Linked DNA regions of Callithrix jacchus. The protein of the gene in region 1 purifies or fractionates together with the protein of each later gene. This does not show direct contact. Links are inferred from orthologs where the notes say so. Each region holds a gene or a part of one and is shown in the gene's direction. Other genes may lie near its edges. The genes, in order: CASP10 and FASLG.

Region 1 (4,535 bases):
AAAGCATCATAATCTTGCTTTTTCCCCCAGAGATAAAACATCTTTCTAAGACTCTGTACGTCTTTCCAGAGTTCTGCACATTTGAGGTAGCTTAATTATAGTGTAGTGACTTTGAGCCAAACTTGCTGGTTTAAATCTTGGCCCTCCCAGTAGCTCACTGTGTGACCTTGGGAAAATTACTTAACCTTTCTGTGTTGTAGTTTTCACATGTTAGAGCAGGAGTCATAGTAATAGTATTTTATCTTGGGGTGTTGTTGGGATGGTGAAATGAGTAAAAATTTGTAAATACCCTATGGCACATGGTAGTTACAATAGAAGTGTGCAGTATTAGGCCAGGCACGATGGCTGACACCTGTAATCCCAGCACTTTGGGAGGCCGAGGCAGGTAGATCACAAGGTCAAGAGATTGAGACCATCCTGGCCAACATGGTGAAACCCTGACTCTACTAAAAAATACAAAAATTAGCTGGGTGTGATGGCACGCACCTGTAGTCTCAGCTGCTCAGGAGGCTGAGGCAGGAGAATCACTTGAACCCAGAGGCAGAGGTTGCAGTGAGTTGAGATCACACCCCAGTCTGGTGATAGAGCAAGACTCCATCTCAAAAAAAGAAAAAAAGAAAAAAAAGCAAGTGTTCAGTATTGTTTTATTAGAAATAATGTCTTCAAAGTCTCTTTTTTTCTGGTTTGAATGTGCTGTGAGAACATGCACTGTCAGTTTTGTCTACCATTAATTGGTTGAGTCTCTTGCAGATACCTCCAAATGGGCTTGTAATTCACCATCCCCACTTTTCTTTTTTTTCCCCTTTTCTTTTTATTTCTTAATTTCTCCCACAAAGACTGAAAGTGAATCCCCACTTTTCTTTTATCATTTAAAAATTTTATTTATTGGCTGAGTGTGGTGGCTCATGGCTGTAATCCCAGCACTTTGGGAGGCTGTAGTGGGTGGATCACGAGGTCAGGAGTTCGAGATCAGCCTGGCCAGCATGGTGAAACCCTATCTCTACTAAAATACAAAAAAATTAGCCTGGCATAGTGGCGTGTGCCTGTAATCCCAGCTACCTGGGAGGGTAAGGCAGGAGAATTGCTTGAACCCAGGAGGCAGAGGTTGCAGTGAGTGTAGATTGCACGATTGCACTCCAGCCCGGGTGACAGAGCAAGACTCAGTCTCAAAAAAAAAAAAAAATTATTTGTTTATTTGCATGTGGACTAAGGAAAGGGTTAACTTGACTTTATTTGAAAAGTTAAGTGTTTGGGGAAGGAGATGATTAGAAAAATAGATGCTTCCCATTTTTTTCTTTTCTTTTTTTTTTGTTTTGTTTTTATTCTTTTCCCACCAACTATAGATAGATTCCCTTTTTGACTTAACAAGAAAATGGAGATCCTAAGGAAAGCCTGGAGGACTTCATGGCTTCCGTGGGTTCATTTCTAGGAAGATTTCGCTTTACATGGGGAAACCCCAAGCTCTACAGTGAGAAAGTTGTAAATTAGCCTTTAGGAGACGCTGTTTGTCAGTTATCTTAAGCCTGGAAAAGGGGAGGGAAAAAGCCAAATAAGCAGTGACGACATTGGCAGGAAATCAGTATCAGGCTACCCAGCCCAGTAGGATCCAGTTTTCACTTCAACAGCCAGCAAGTCTTGAAGTCTCTTCCCGCGAAATTGGGAGCTTCCTTGGACCTTGGAGCACATAGAGGATTCTACTTTCTTTAAAATTTTGTTTTCAGGCAATTTCCCTGAGAATCGTTTACCTCCAGAGGATTGGTGGAGCCTGATCTGAAGGTATGTAATTAAATACCACAGAGTCTCATGCTTGGATCTTTTCCTTTGCTTCATGGCTTCATGTTGTAGAAACTTGCAAAAACTTGTCAGCAATGGTATTATTTCTGCTTAGATTTCTTTGCCATGCCTGGGAAAACAAAAGTTCAAAAATCCAGAAGCCTCCAACATAGCCTTTTACCGGCAGAAATATGTTAGTTCCCGGAGACAAAGTGTGGCAGACTCATTAAAACTAGAAATTGGAATTGTCAAGAAACCACAAGGCAAATGTAAGATGTGGTAGAATAGAAACAGGTCCAGGAAACCACTCATTTGACCTCAGGGCTAGCAGCAGGGAAGATCCCCTGGATCATCACATTTAAAATGACATTTTTTGTTTCTTTTTTTTGAGACAGAGTTTTGCTCTACCTCCCGGGTTCAAGTGATTCTCCTGCCTCAGCCTCCCAAGTAGCTGGGATTACAGGCATGCACTGCCATGCACCGCTAATTTTTGTATTTTTAGTAGCGACGAGGTTTCACTATGTTGATCAGGCTGGTCTTGAACTCCTGACCTCAGGTGATCTGCCCACCTCGGCCTCCCAAAGTGCTGGGATTACAGGCGTGAGCCACCATTTTTTGTTTCTTTTAACACTGAAATTAATGTGTATGTTCATGTATAAATAAAATTTGAGAAATTCAGTTGAAAGCCCAGGAGAAAATTTGTATTATCTCTAGTTATGCCATCTCGATATAACTACTCCTTATTATGGAGGTTTTGATTTTTGCTATGTGTTTCTTCCTTCTTTCCTTCATTTATTTATTTAATTGAGACGGAGTCTCGTTCTTTCACCAGGCTGGAGTACAGTGGCACAATCTTGGCTCACTGCAACTTCCGTCTCCCAGATTCAAGCAATCCTCTCACCTCAGCTTCCTAAATAGCTGGGACCACAGGCACCACCACACCTGGCTAATTTTTGTATTTTTTAAGAGACAGGGTTTCACCATGTTTCCCAGGCTTGTCCTAAACTCCTGGCCTCAAGTGATCCACCTGCCTTGGCCTCATGAAGTGCTCCTCTGATTATAATGAAATTTAGTACAGAGAATACAGTAGTTTATAAACTAGTCAGATGGAAACATTGACTCATGTAATTTTCAACTTCCTACATTGATTTGAGCAACTCTTGTCTAAAACCATTCTTTCCTTCTGAGGTCTAGCAGTTTTTTTGTTTGTTTGTTTGTTTGTTTGTTTTTTGAGACAGGGTCTCCCTTTGTCACCCAGGGTGGAGTGCAGTGGCATGATCATGGCTCACTGGACCCTCCACCCCCAGGGCTCAAATGATCCTTCTGCCTCAGCCTCCTGAGTAGTTGGGACCACAGGTGTGCACCACCATGCCTGGCTAATTTTTGTATTTATTGTAGAGACAGGGTTTTACCATGTTGCCCAGTCTGATCCCGAACTCCTGGCTGGGGTTATAGGTGTGAGCCACTGCACACTGCCTGTTCCTTCCTTTAGAAAGTAGTTTCCTGTTTCTAAAAATAGCGAAGTTCTGCATAATGACTATATACCTCAAGTGCTTATAGAATAAATAATATTACAATGAAAATGTTATCACTGCATTGCTCCTCTGATTATAATGAAGTTTAGTATAGAGGATACTGTAGTTTATAAACTTGTCAGATGGAAACATTTATTTACGTAATTTTTTTTTTTTTTTTTTTTTTTAGTAAAAACAAATGTATTAGATAAGTAAACAAAAGAATGGCTACTCCATAGACAGAGCAGCCGACCCATGAAATTTTTTTTTTTATTTTTTATTTTTTATTGGATTTTAGGTTTTGGGGTACATGAGCAGAGCATGCAAGAAAGTTGCATAGGAATACACATGGCAGTGTGCTTTTCTTTCCTTCTCCCCTTCACCCACATTTGGCATTTCTCCCCAGGCTATCCGTCCCCACCTCCCCCTCCCACTGGCCCTCCCCTTTTCCCCCCAATAGACCCCAGTGTTTAGTACTCCCCTTTCTGTGTCCATGTGTTCTCATTTTTCATCACCCGCCTATGAGTGAGAATATGCGGTGTTTCATTTTCTGTTCTTGTGTCAGTTTGCTGAGGATGACGTTCTCCAGATTCATCCATGTCCCTACAAACGACACGAACTCATCATTTCTGATTGCTGCATAATATTCCATGGTGTGTATGTGCCACATTTTTCCAATCCAGTCTATTATCAATGGGCATTTTGGTTGATTCCAGGTCTTTGCTATTGTAAACAGTGCTGCAATGAACATTCGTGTACATGTGTCCTTATAGTAGAACAATTTATAGCCTTTTGGATATATACCCAGTAATGGGATTACTGGATCAAATGGAATTTCTATTTCTAAGGCCTTGAGGAATCGCCACACTGTCTTCCACAATGGTTGAACTAATTTACACTCCCACCAACAGTGTAAAAGTGTTCCTTTTTCTCCACATCCTCTCCAGCATCTGTTGTCTCCAGATTTTTTAATGATCGCCATTCTAACTGGCGTGAGATGGTATCTCAATGTGGTTTTGATTTGCATCTCTCTGATGACCAGTGACGATGAGCATTTTTTCATATGATTGTTGGCCTCATATATGTCTTCTTTCGTAAAGTGTCTGTTCATATCCTTTGCCCACTTTTGAATGGGCTTGTTTGTTTTTTTCCTGTAAATCCGTTTGAGTTCTTTGTAAATTCTGGATATCAGCCCTTTGTCAGATGGGTAAACTGCAAAAATTTTTTCCCATTCTGTTGGTTGCCGAT
Region 2 (3,031 bases), on another chromosome or scaffold:
TCTGTCTCAAAAAAAAAAAAAAAAAAATGAGATTTAAATTCCCACCAAAATCATTGTTGGTATTTCATTTTAACATGTATTCCTCTATCACACAGGCCACCCTAGTCCACCCCCTGAAAGAAAGGAGCTGAGGAAAGTGGCCCATTTAACAGGTCTGTATCTGGAAGGTACAGGTGGGATTTGGGAAAGCTTTTGGCAACAGGCAGAATAGCTGCTTGGTTTCATTACTGGGCCCTAGAGAGTTGTTACTTCCTGGTGACAGTATTTGAACCCAACAATACTAACATCTTTCTTGTCAAGTCAGTCTTGCAAACATACTTTGAGCCCCTATTCTCTGGGCAAGGGCCTCTTCTAAATTGGAGACCTAGAGCTAATTATGACATGACCCCTGTACATGACCTCACTCTTTTCAGTCATTCCCAAGTCCCTTGGGGATTGGGGGCACAGATCCAAAAGGTGAGAGCTGAGAAGGTGAGGAATGAGGACTTATTTTCATCAGTGCTTTCTTGGTTTTCTGGAAGAGCTTTACTCTGTTTTGTCCAAGAGTATAAATAGGAGTGAGAAGGGAAACTCAGTCCTGGCACTTGTCAACTTTCAGCCTGTGCCTGCAAAGTGGTGTGAAATGATATGGTATGGGCACTCCCATTGTAAACTTCATAAATAACTGAGAAGTGGATAAATATCACAGAAAGTGGTAGGCTATTGTCCCTGGTATTATTTAGGCAGAAACTGTAGAATGATCCAGTCAGATCAGCAGACACTTATTGAGTACCTGCTGTGTGCCAATTTTGGGATGTGAAGATGAGTAGCACATGGCTCTTGCCCCCAGGGAGCTTGACATCTAATAGGGAAAGACAGGCACTTATGATGATTTTAGTACTGCAGAGATTTGGGTTATGTTCTTGATGCTGTGGGGATACAAAGAAAAGGAAACTGTAGCCCAAATTGAGGAGCTGAAAAATTCTTAACTGCAGGTGAGAAGATGGACCAGATGGTTCCTAAGATCCTTCCCAACTTTAAGACATTAGAGTTCCTTGGATTTGGCTTTTTCCTTCAGGAAAGGACCTCAATGCCTAGCAGTTTTGGTGTTAGTTCTGAAAATAATAAAATCTTTGTTCCAGAGAGCTAATATTTTCTAATAATTTTTTACTGCAATTGATTGGGATATATACTATTGTTCTAATTGTGTGGATGACAAAACAGGACAACAATGTTTAAGAAATTCTGTGATGGATCAAGTTCTGGCCCCTCAGCCGGTTCTATATAGGCTGTGTCATTCCGGGTAAAACATTTGTTCAAGGAAGGACCCGCGGTTTTCCCATAGAAACTTAGTTTGTTGGATGCATGACATTCCTGGCTGAAAGCTCCTTTTGAATTTATTTCAGGCAAGCCCAACTCAAGGTCCATGCCTCTGGAATGGGAAGACACCTATGGAATTGTCCTGCTTTCTGGAGTGAAGTATAAGAAGGGTGGCCTTGTGATCAATGAAACTGGGCTGTATTTTGTATATTCCAAAGTATACTTTCGGGGTCAGTCTTGCAACAACCTGCCCCTGAGTCACAAGGTCTACATGAGGAACTCTAAGTATCCCCAGGATCTGGTGATGATGGAGGGGAAGATGATGAGCTACTGCACTGCTGGGCAGATGTGGGCCCGCAGCAGCTACCTGGGTGCAGTGTTCAATCTTACCAGTGCTGATCATTTATATGTCAATGTATCTGAGCTCTCTCTGGTCAATTTTGAGGAATCTCAGACATTTTTTGGCTTATATAAGCTCTAAGAAAAGCACTTTGGGATTCTTTCCATTATGATTCTTTGTTACACACACTGAGACTGTTGTATTCAATGACGGTCTTCTTAGGCACATTTGAGGTCAAGTAAGAAGACATGAACTAAGTGGACCTTGAGACCACAAGGTTCAAAAGGTCTGTAGCTCCTCACTCACCTAACGTTTATGAGCCAGACAAATGGAGTAATAAGACTGAAGAACATCTGGGCTGCCATGTGAAGAGGCAGAAGCATGGAAAAGCAGCTGCCAGATGTTCTACATTCATCTTCAGTGCCTGAAAGTATTTGGGCACATTGAAAAGGACGCCTTTTAACTCACTTCTCAGGGTGGGCCTTGCTACCTCAAGGGTGACTGTCTTTCTGATACATGGTTGTGACATGAGTGTTTAAGGGATGGGAAAGGAGGACTAGAGGCTTGCATAATAAGCTAAAGAGGCTGAAAGAGGCCAACACTCCACTAGCAGCATCTTCACTTCTAAACACATAGCCTGAGCCATCGCTGATAGTAACAGAGAAGCAAGAGAGATATTTTGAGGACTCATTCCATTCCTAACACAGCATGTGTATTTCCAGTGCAATTGTAGGGGGTGTGTGTGTGTGTGTGTGTGTGTGTGTGTGTGTGTAACTAAAGAGAGAATGTAGAGATTGTGAAATACATATTAGGAAAATATGGGTTGCGTTTGGTGATAGAGTTTGAATGCTTCTTGACAATAAACTCTAATAGTTCTTAAAAATCATTGATTTTCAGCTACTGATGAAGTTTTCCTAGAATATAATAAATATTTATATAGATGTACATTTTTGGGAAAAGAAAATGTAATATAAAGCATATGTTAGGATACAGATAATTTTTAGCAAATATTTTACAAATATTTGAATTTTTGCATATTATTTCTTTTTTCCATGGTTTCTTTATTCATTACGATGCCAGACCACTTTAACAAAAATTTATAGGCTGGGCGCGGTGGCTCACGCCTGTAATCCCAGCACTTTGGGAGGCCGAGGCGGGTGGATCACGAGGTCAAGAGATTGAGACCGTCCCGGTCAACATGGTGAAATCCCGTCTCTACTAAAAATACAAAAAATTAGCTGGGCATGGTGGCGTGTGCCTGTAATCCCAGCTACTCAGGAGGCTGAGGCAGGAGAATTGCCAGAACCCAGCAGGTGGAGATTGCGGTGAGCCGAGATTGTGCCATTGCACTCCAGCCTGGGTAACAAGGGCGAAACTCCATCTCAAAAAAAA

The links.
Region 2: the proteins of CASP10 (region 1) and FASLG purify together in Homo sapiens (co-immunoprecipitation; 3 studies listed by BioGRID and IntAct, with this or other methods). This does not show direct contact. The link is inferred for Callithrix jacchus from reciprocal best matches to the Homo sapiens genes CASP10 and FASLG.

What each region holds. Positions count from the first base shown.
Region 1 is NC_133507.1:122,266,912-122,271,446, forward strand, and holds the start of CASP10 (caspase-10), read left to right. Parts: upstream 1-1,598; 5' UTR 1,599-1,776; intron 1,777-4,535. UniProt on the Homo sapiens protein: Involved in the activation cascade of caspases responsible for apoptosis execution. Recruited to both Fas- and TNFR-1 receptors in a FADD dependent manner. May participate in the granzyme B apoptotic pathways.
Region 2 is NC_133519.1:30,103,051-30,106,081, reverse strand, and holds the end of FASLG (tumor necrosis factor ligand superfamily member 6), read left to right. Parts: intron 1-95; coding exon 96-152; intron 153-1,385; coding exon 1,386-1,780; 3' UTR 1,781-2,522; downstream 2,523-3,031. UniProt on the Homo sapiens protein: Cytokine that binds to TNFRSF6/FAS, a receptor that transduces the apoptotic signal into cells. Involved in cytotoxic T-cell-mediated apoptosis, natural killer cell-mediated apoptosis and in T-cell development.